Sus scrofa: one gene and its partner. The protein of the gene in region 2 interacts with the protein of the main gene of each other region in a pairwise test. Links are inferred from orthologs where the notes say so. Each region holds a gene or a part of one and is shown on either strand. Other genes may lie near its edges.

Region 1 (4,473 bases), on a different chromosome or scaffold from region 2:
CCAGTGACAACTTGGGTTCTTCCATTTCTTCCAAGCTCTACCTAATCTGTGCCTCTTTTAAAATGTTTTCTGGATATGCCCTTCCTTGCCTTTTTCCACTGGATTACGACCCAACCTACTGAATACATACTATTTTAAGACTATTCTCATTGAAATATTGCTTCCATAGCTTTTGAACCCAAAATGGTTCTAAAAGTCTTCTGCATCAAATCCAAACCTAGTTTTCATGGCTTTACATGAGTGATCCCCCTATTTCACTTTAACTAAATTAGTTTGCAACTCAATCTTCAGAGTTGATAAAAATCTTTGTGCTAGAATGTGCTTTATTTAGGGATCACTAGGTACAGTTCTTTTGTTTTAGGAGTAAGGCAATCATGGCTCAAGGAAGTTGTGACATGCCTCATATCACAGATGTGGTAGCAGATCCAGAACTAGGTATCCAGACAGGCCAAGTGGTAGCTCTTCACTAGATTATCTTGTTAAATCCCCACCTGGACCATGCAGATCTATTTCCCAATCACTAAACCTAAGGCACTCACCCCTGCGTTCAGGCTTTTGCTTTTGGTGATGCCCTTACCTGTCCATTCCTACTCATGCGTCAAGGCTCAGTTCAAGCCCTAAAGGCTCCCTCCATGACATTCCCAACTACCCAGGCCTACCACACCTCTCTTATTTTCATTTGTGCTACCCTTAGAGCTAGCATTTCCTATTCCACACATGACTCTCCTCTAAGTATTCAATTTGACTAAAGTCCTCCCGGTTAAACAGACAGCCTCTCGAGCGCTGTGACAGCCTTTCACCCTGTAGCCTCGACAACACTTAGAGGCCCAAAGGAAACACTTAATACATGCAAGTCACTAAAAAAACGGAAGCAAAATGAATGAGGAGAGCTACTGTCTGGCCTTGCAAGGCATTCATCCTATCAGGAATCTCTGATCTAAATCAGGTCTAATTTTGTTTCCAGCTAATTACTATTCAAATCTAATTAATAACCAGAATAGTAAAACATACTTACTGTCATGAAATACTGGGTGAACCGTGTTGTCAGTGCTACTCCAGAACACCTGTCTAAAAAGGTGTCTGATCTTTGCCAATTTCAACCTAGAAGACAAACATCTATCAGTAGTGTAAAACTATAGCCCAAAGGCATTCTTCCTAGTAAAATTTAAAAAGGCATGTATAATTTTACCTACTATTCTTATTTAATGAACTGCATGGCTCTAAAATGGTTCAAAAAGCAAGCACCCAATAAATGTTTGTTAAATTGGGAGACGTATTTTGGAGGACTTATAAAAGTTCATGCTATTGGGGGAAGTACGGCTTTTCCAACAAAGCCCTATATTTAGTCATGTTCATCATAAATATTCATCACAACACACCAAATTATATAATACGCAAGAGGCCAAAAATTACATATCAACACCCAAGACACAAATATCCCACTTATCAACTTAATTTTTACTGATGGCTTTCCTTATGTTTTAGAGTGAGATTTAGGGTTCAAAAGCTCAAAAGGGAAGACAAGTTTATCTCAGGATATAATGCTTTCCAATTAAATATCTCAGATTATAGCGGGAAGAAGATACATGTTGCCCAGAGAACATCCAGAGAAAGAGAATACAGTCAATTAAGACCTGTATTATTTTAAAGCATCACCATTTGGGACTAAAATTGCATCTCAATAGCACTTCATTCTCACTGTAAGGCATAAATAGTTGAATAAATTGGCATCAATTACGATGTTACAATTTCCATTCTCATTTGCTCTTCCCCTTTTTTCAAGGGAAAAAAAGGGGGGGGAGACAAAGACATATCCTTTCTGTGCTAATTTTTAAAAGAAGACAAAATACTGATATGCATTCAAGCATGAAATCTAGCAAACAGAAAAAACTCTAACCACCAAATTGAATTTTCAAATGCTACTACAAGGGTCCATGCAGCAAAGACTGGCTGACATTGTCTACTGTTCTGTAATCCCAAAAGCAATTTCTAATTTCTTTCCAAATATCATCTTCACTCTAACCCCAAAGCTGCCCAGAAAATTCCTTCCTCGTAGCTAGAAGTGTCATTTTTTAAAGGTGCCGTGGGGGGAGGAGAGAGATCCTCAGAACACTTAAAATACAGGAGCTGTCTATATTTATGTATTTTTGCTGGGGGTTGGGGTGGTGCCACACCTCACCACAATCACTCACCCAAATAGTTGAGTCAGTATATGTTTAGATTCAATATATTAAAGAGAAACACTATCACCTCACATGGTATATATTTTCTTACAGGCAGGTTATGATATATGTGAAAGCTCAAGGCAATGCATACATATGTTTAATGTTTAAAGAAATCTGTATCCAAGAAAAGCAGCAGACCCTTCCTCCACCCTCCATTCTTTGGCATCAACAACCAGAGTTTTGCACCAATATAAGCCTTAAATTGAACTACGGGAGCAGAGTGAGAACGGAATAATTGCCTCTTAAGGAATTTTGGTTAAACTTTACTAATAAAACCCCCTATTTGTTAATGCCACTTACATTGATCAGTTCACCTCATCACTTTGTATTTCTGACTTGTCTCCATACAAGAGAGCCGAAACCACCCCAGTGACTCGTGGCACGGAACCGTGCAGTCCATGCAGGCTGGGATGCTATTTTTTAAAAGGTCATATGCTACTTAACCTTGCTTAAACCATCTTTTAGAGTACTCTGGGCGAGATTTCGTCTTGTAGGTGCTCTTCTAATTCTTTGTTCTCCAAGACTACTCCTGAGGCCCGGTATATCCTCCCCGCCTCCCACCGAAGATTAAAACCTTAGTCCAATCCGGAAGGCTTCCTTCCCACCTTCGGGGCAAGTCCAGGGACCGCAAGCCGCCAGATGGCTGCATTCTATACGCGTAAACCAGACTGCGGGGAAACCAAATCCACTCCTTCCTCCCGGGGACCTCGCTTCCTCCCCACGAAGGTGCGCGGGCTGGCCCGGGTCCCACCGTCCGCCCGGCCGACCTGTCGGTCCCGCCTGGGCGGCGCGGACACCCCGGGCAGGCATCCCCCCTACTCGGCCGGCTCAGGCCCGGGGCCCGCGCCTAACGCCCGCCCGCCGCGCGGCGCCCGGGGTGCCGGGGCAGACAAAGCGGCCCGGCCCTGCCATGCCCCCGCGGAGTGGCGGGCGGAAGAGGGGCGCTCCCCGGGAGCCCCCGCGCGGCGGAGGAGGAGGATCGGGGCCGGGGGTCCAGGCTGCATCCTCCCGCCCCCAGCCGGCTCGCCACACAAAATGGAGCCGGCCCGGACGCCACCGAGAGCGGGGCCCGACGGTGCCCCGGCGCCCCCTCCTCGGCCTCGGGCCCGGAGGTCGGCGGCGGCGAGCAGGAGGCGGCCTGGCCCGCGTCCCGCCGCTCCTCGGCCGGGCGCACAAAGAGCCGCGCCGCGGCCCAGCGCCCGCTTCCCAGCCGGGCCCGCAGCGGGGGAGGCCTCGCAGGCGCCGGCCCGGCCCCGGCCCCGGCCCGGGCGGGAGGGCGGGCAGGCGGGAGTGAGCCAAGTGCCCCCGGCCGCGGCGGCGTTGGCGGCGGGGACGGCGCCGGGAGGAGACGGACATTTCATTCGAGCTAAAGTGGAGTCGGTTTAGGAGCGATCATTGGCCGAAGCGAGACACAAACCTCCAATGCAGCCCTGGTTGGCTCCCGTCTCCAATCGGCTGTTTGGTTGGACAGAAAATGGCTGCGAAGGAACCAGTCCCAGCGCGGAGCTCCGCTTCCAGGACTCGGCCTTCCCTCCCTCCGCCGCGGGCCGCTTCCCTCGGCGCGACACCCTCCCTCCGCAGCTCCCGCGCGCCCGCCCGGCGCGGCCCCGCCCCGGCACGGCCCCGCCCCCAGCCCCGCCCCGTGCGCTGAGCAGCCCGCAGAGCCCGCTGCAGGCCGCCGCGAGTCGGTCCTGCGGCGCGAGCGGAGCCCGCGGGTGGCTTTTTCCTCGGCAGGGACTAGGGCTGGGGCTCGGTGCTAAGGTCAGTGCGGGCTTTCCGCGGTATTTTCCCCACGTCTTGCGCATGATTTCTCAGCTCTCCCTCTCTTTTCCATCCCCTCCCCTGGCGCACGTGGAAGTGTCTCACCCGCCAAAGTGCAGCCTGCCTGCGCCTCGAGTTTTAAGAAGGGGAAACCAAGGGCAAAAGCTGCCGGCCAGGCGACACTCGAGCTACAGGGTGGATCTGAACGGCGATTACCTCCTGGTATGCTTTCAGCGCCAGCTGTTCGCCTTGTGCCCCTGTTAAGTTTGCCACATGCACAACGCTCCCTCTCGGTCACCGAGCTCCCCGTTCGTTTTTTCAGATTTCACCTAAAGATACAATCCTCTGCTTTAGGTTTAACAACCTGCTCAGTCCAGCCAGCCTTCACCCCAGCTTAAAATGTTGCATATGCCCCACCCGCACAGTATTTGCGACATGCCATGTGGCTTTTCCCAACCAGATGATATTTGAGCTGCCAGAATCCATG
Region 2 (4,433 bases):
CCCCACGCGAAGACACCCGAGTCCTTGAGGAGCCCCTTCCATCAGCACTCACGTCTGTGGGCAACCCGGACCTCTAGGCTGCCCATCGCTGCCCTGGCCTCTCCAGGCCGCTGCTCCCTGAACACAACACATCCGCCTCATCGGCCTCGTATGCATAGCTCCAGGGTCTGCTCAGGGCCCCTGGGGGCTCACAAGCCGGCCTTCCAGGTCCCCCATGACCTCACCTACCTCTGCTCCCGCTGCCCTTCCCACATGCCCTTCAAGGGCACTGGCTCCAGCTCTAGTTTTCAAGAGCTGTCTCTGTCACCTGTCCCATCTGTCTCTCTGCAGCAGCCCAGAGGGGGCAGAATGGTCTCCCTCAGAGAGACAAGAACAGGCTACTCAGAGTAGGAACCCGCCCAGGGTCACAGGGCACAACAAGACAGGCTGTCTCCCGGCATGACTGGCACCTGCCGGCTCAGGCCCTCCAGCACTCTGCCCACCTTCCCGCCATCAGCACCCCGGGCCCGGCCCCCTTCAGTCAGCTGCTGCCCAGCCGCCCTGGCCCTGGCTCAGTGTGGGGAAGGAGGCCATTAGGCCCTGGACAAGAGCTGGGACGGATACTGGAATTCCCTTTTATTTTTTTTTTTAATAAATTTAAGAACAGCTCTACCCTCTTCCCCCCAGAGCAGCTAAAAGGGGGTGTGGCCTGGGGGGCAGAGGGCGCTAGGAGTCATAATCTTCTTCGTCCTCTGCGTCAGGTGCTGCGGGGACCTGGGGCGCTGGGGGCAGAGGCAGAGTCGAGGTGAAGGGCGTGAAGGGTGTCGGGGGGCTGCAGGGCAGAAAGTGGGAAAGGAAGATCAGGCCACTCACCTGTGCCCAGTCCTGCCCGCTGAGCCCCACCCGGTCCTCCAGCCAGGCAGGCCTGGAGCCCACTGCCCTCTACCAGCAGGGAGCCGAGCCCAGAGAAGGGAAGGACCCAGGGCACACAGCCCTGCCCGGGGGAGGGGACTTTCTGAGAGCACAGAACCCAGCCGTTAAGTCCTCTTCAGTTCCTCCCGTCCCGTCTCCCAAATCTGCCACAACCAACAGAACCAAGGCGCCTGAGCGGTCAGAAAGGACAAGGCAGCTGGGGACCAGCTGGCCCCCTCTGGGTGCCACCGACCTGCTTACCTCTGAAAGTGGGCAGGGGGCTGGCTGGCCTGGGATGGGGCCTGTGATGTCTCCTCTTCCCCATCAGTATCTGTATCCTCAGACTCATCCTGGGAACAAGACAGGAATCAGAGGCGACAAGAAAGGCGTGGGCCCATTACTGGAAAGCCGGACCTCTGCAGCCGCCATGTGCAAGGCAACCAACACAAAGAGGTCACAGGTGAGGATGGGACCAGGCCTCCAGCCAGCTGGGCCTGGCCTGATGCAAGGCTGCCCTCTCCACCCTGCAAGGCAGGACAGAGGGCTGGGGCCTCAGCTCACCTCCTGCTCCGAGTCTGTCCCCGACAGCTTCTTGTCCTTGCCTTTGCTTCCCATGCCACCGTTCTTCCGGCTGCCGCCGCCTGGCTTCCGGCCCCTTCGGGAAGGTGGAGTCCATCTGCCCAGAGGTCTCCCCACTCCTCTGCCATCCCCCAAGACACCTCCAACCCCGGGGGCCTTGGCCTTCCCCACATGGACACTGACTCCCCACCTGCGAGGACCCTTGTCCCCGTCCATGTGGTTGTCTTCCCCATCTCCCTGCATGTCAGGCACAGAGGCCACCAGATCCTTTAAGAAGTCAAACTGCTGCTCCAGCTCAATGCACTGCTTCCTGGAAGAGGTGGGGAGGGAATGGCACTCAGGTGAGGCACAGATGTCTGTACTCTCAGCAAAGTGCTCTCTGGATGTCAGGGGAACAGAGCCTGGATCGTTTCAATCCCAGCCATGCCCCCTTTCTTAGAATACCCAGTCCCTGCCAACTCAAACCTACCAGCCTTTGAGTCCTCGCCCAGCCGCCTCCCACCTCCCTCCCTATCAGGGCACAGCCTCCCCTAAGCGTGTGGACTCCGGGCGGAGGCCCCACACGAGCCCTCCCAGATCGGAGCCACTCACAGGTGGGATGTGGTCATGGTCTTGGCATTTCTAGACTGGGTCACTTGGCAGGCCTTCTTCAGCAGTGACTCCAGGAAAAGCTCGAGCGCCCGAGCTGAGGGTCGTCAAGGCGAACGCGGGTTCTAACAATGTCCTGGCCCCCAAAAAGCGACCCGGGGCTGCCGGCCTCCCCCGCCTCCCTCAACCCAGCCAGCCCTCGACAGGATACAGATGATGACAGGCACAGCTGCCGCCACCTTCCCAATCTCTTCATCCGTCTGCATTATCTTCTTGATGCGTGCCTGAGGAAGGGGCAGAGAGCTCGGACCCCGTCGCCGCGGCCCCCGAAAGGGTGCGCGGGGCGGGGGGCAGAGAGAGGGAGCATCCCGGGAGGAAGGGGGCGGGGGGCACCGACGCGGAGAGGGCACGGAAGGGGGCGGGGCGTCCGGGCCCCCGAACGGCGCGATGCGCCCGCCTCCCTGGCCGGGCCTGGGCCGGAGCCTCCCGAGAGCCCGGCTCGTTCCTCCCGAGGCCGGCCACGTGCTCACCGGCGGGAACCGCGCGTTGTACTTCTTCTTCTTGCTCGGCATCTCGGGGCCTCTCTCGCCGCGCCGGGCCCAGCGCCGCCGCCCGCAGCCTCCCGGCCCCCGGGCCTGCTCGTCGCCCGCCCGCCGCGGTTCCCCCGGGTCCTGGTGCCGCCTCCTCCGCCCCCGCCACTCCCCCCACAGGGTCCTAGCGCCGCCGGTCAGCACTCGGCCGGCGGGGCCCGAGCGCCCTCCCCTCACAGCCTCCCGCCCGGTGCGCGTCTGTCCGGGACTGGACGGCCGCGACCGCCCGCCCCCAAGACCTGAAGAGCGAACGTTAGCTCCGCCCCCCGCAGGCCCGCCCCGCCTCGCGTTCCCAATGGCCCCGCCCCCGGGGTCAGCACCGCCCCGACGGCCCTGCCCCTTCCCCCCGGTCCCGCCCTATGCTGCGCTTGTCTATAAAGTTGTTGTTGAGGCGGCGGGGCAATAAGATGGCGGCGGCGGCTGCAGCCGTGGCGGGGGCGGGGCGCGGCGGCGGCGGCGCGGAGCCCCGGCAGGAGCGGAGCCGGGCCCGGGGCTGGGCCGGCGCCGAGCGCAGCGAAGGCCGGAGGTGACGCCCGGGCGGCGGGAGGGGGCAGGGCGGGGCGGGGCAGGGGCGCTGCTCGGGCCGTGAGCACTAATGGCGGCGGGCGCGGCGGGCGCGGCGGGGCGGGAGGCTGGCCCTCCCGCAGGCTCTAACAAGCCTGGGTTCGAGTCCGGGCTCGGCCCGTTGGCCTCGGATTGGTCACTGCCCTCTCTGGCCTGCATGTCTTCGTCTTTAAGTAGGCGGGATAACGCCCGCCTGGAGGCCTGGCCCTGTGGGGCCTGTCGGGGTGCCTCGTTCCATTACATCCCAGCGCCCGGGAGACCCGCCTGCCTTGGCAGCGTCGGGAGCCGCAGCTGGGCCGGCGGCCCCCACACCCGAGTTCACTTTTCGGCCCTTTCACGCACTGCAGGTGTGACCTTGGGTAAGCCCCCTCCTCTGTGAGCTTCAGTTTCCTACTCTGTAGGTCAAGGATAGTAGTGATAATAGTAACAGCATTTATATAGTTCTTGTTCCACCTCCTAGTATTTAATTCTCTACAGCTGTTTGAGACGGGAGCAGCTATTTTTCATTGTACAGATGAGGCAACTGAGGCACAGAGACATTAAGTTTTGCCCAAGGCCGCAGGGATTAGTTCAGTGCCTGGCACCTACGTGCTCAGGCCCAGGAAGCTGGATCTGTCCTGGACCTGCCCTAACTTGGTTCCCACCCGGCAGGATGGAACCAGGCGAGGAGCTGGAGGATGAAGATTCTCCAGGTGGTCGTGAAGATGGCTTCACTGCTGAGCACCTGGCCGCAGAGGCCATGGCAGCTGACATGGACCCCTGGCTGGTGTTTGATGCCCGAACCACACCTGCCACGGAGCTGGATGCCTGGTTGGCCAAGTACCCACCATCCCAGGTTACCCGCTATGGGGACCCTGGCTCTCCCAACTCTGAGCCCGTGGGCTGGATTGCAGCATATGGGCAGGGCTATGTCCCCAACTCAGGCGACGTGCAGGGCCTGCAGGCAGCCTGGGAGGCTCTGCAGACCAGCGGGCGCCCCGTCACACCAGGTACCCTGCGCCAGCTGGCCATCACCCACCACGTGCTCTCGGGCAAATGGCTGATACACCTGGCACCTGGCTTCAAGCTGGATCACGCCTGGGCTGGCATTGCTCGAGCCGTGGTCGAGGGCCGGCTTCAGGTAGCCAAGGTGAGCCCACGGGCCAAGGAGGGTGGGCGGCAGGTCATCTGTGTTTATACGGACGACTTCACGGACCGCTTGGGTGTACTGGAGGCAGATGC

The links.
Region 1: the proteins of DRAP1 (region 2) and NFYB interact in binary tests that used the Homo sapiens proteins (3 or more experiments, as listed by UniProt). The two-hybrid records come from large-scale screens. The link is inferred for Sus scrofa from reciprocal best matches to the Homo sapiens genes DRAP1 and NFYB.

What each region holds. Positions count from the first base shown.
Region 1 is NC_010447.5:80,333,102-80,337,574, reverse strand, and holds the start of NFYB (nuclear transcription factor Y subunit beta), read right to left. Parts: upstream 3,063-4,473; 5' UTR 2,526-3,062; intron 1,102-2,525; 5' UTR 1,022-1,101; coding exon 1,016-1,021; intron 1-1,015. UniProt on the Homo sapiens protein: Component of the sequence-specific heterotrimeric transcription factor (NF-Y) which specifically recognizes a 5'-CCAAT-3' box motif found in the promoters of its target genes.
Region 2 is NC_010444.4:6,409,025-6,413,457, forward strand, and holds DRAP1 (dr1-associated corepressor), read right to left. Parts: upstream 2,912-4,433; 5' UTR 2,631-2,911; coding exon 2,589-2,630; intron 2,343-2,588; coding exon 2,270-2,342; intron 2,156-2,269; coding exon 2,062-2,155; intron 1,781-2,061; coding exon 1,453-1,780; intron 1,242-1,452; coding exon 1,153-1,241; intron 812-1,152; coding exon 706-811; 3' UTR 599-705; downstream 1-598. Other genes in the region: C2H11orf68 (UPF0696 protein C11orf68 homolog), read left to right, coding at 3,008-3,174, 3,864-4,433. UniProt on the Homo sapiens protein: The association of the DR1/DRAP1 heterodimer with TBP results in a functional repression of both activated and basal transcription of class II genes.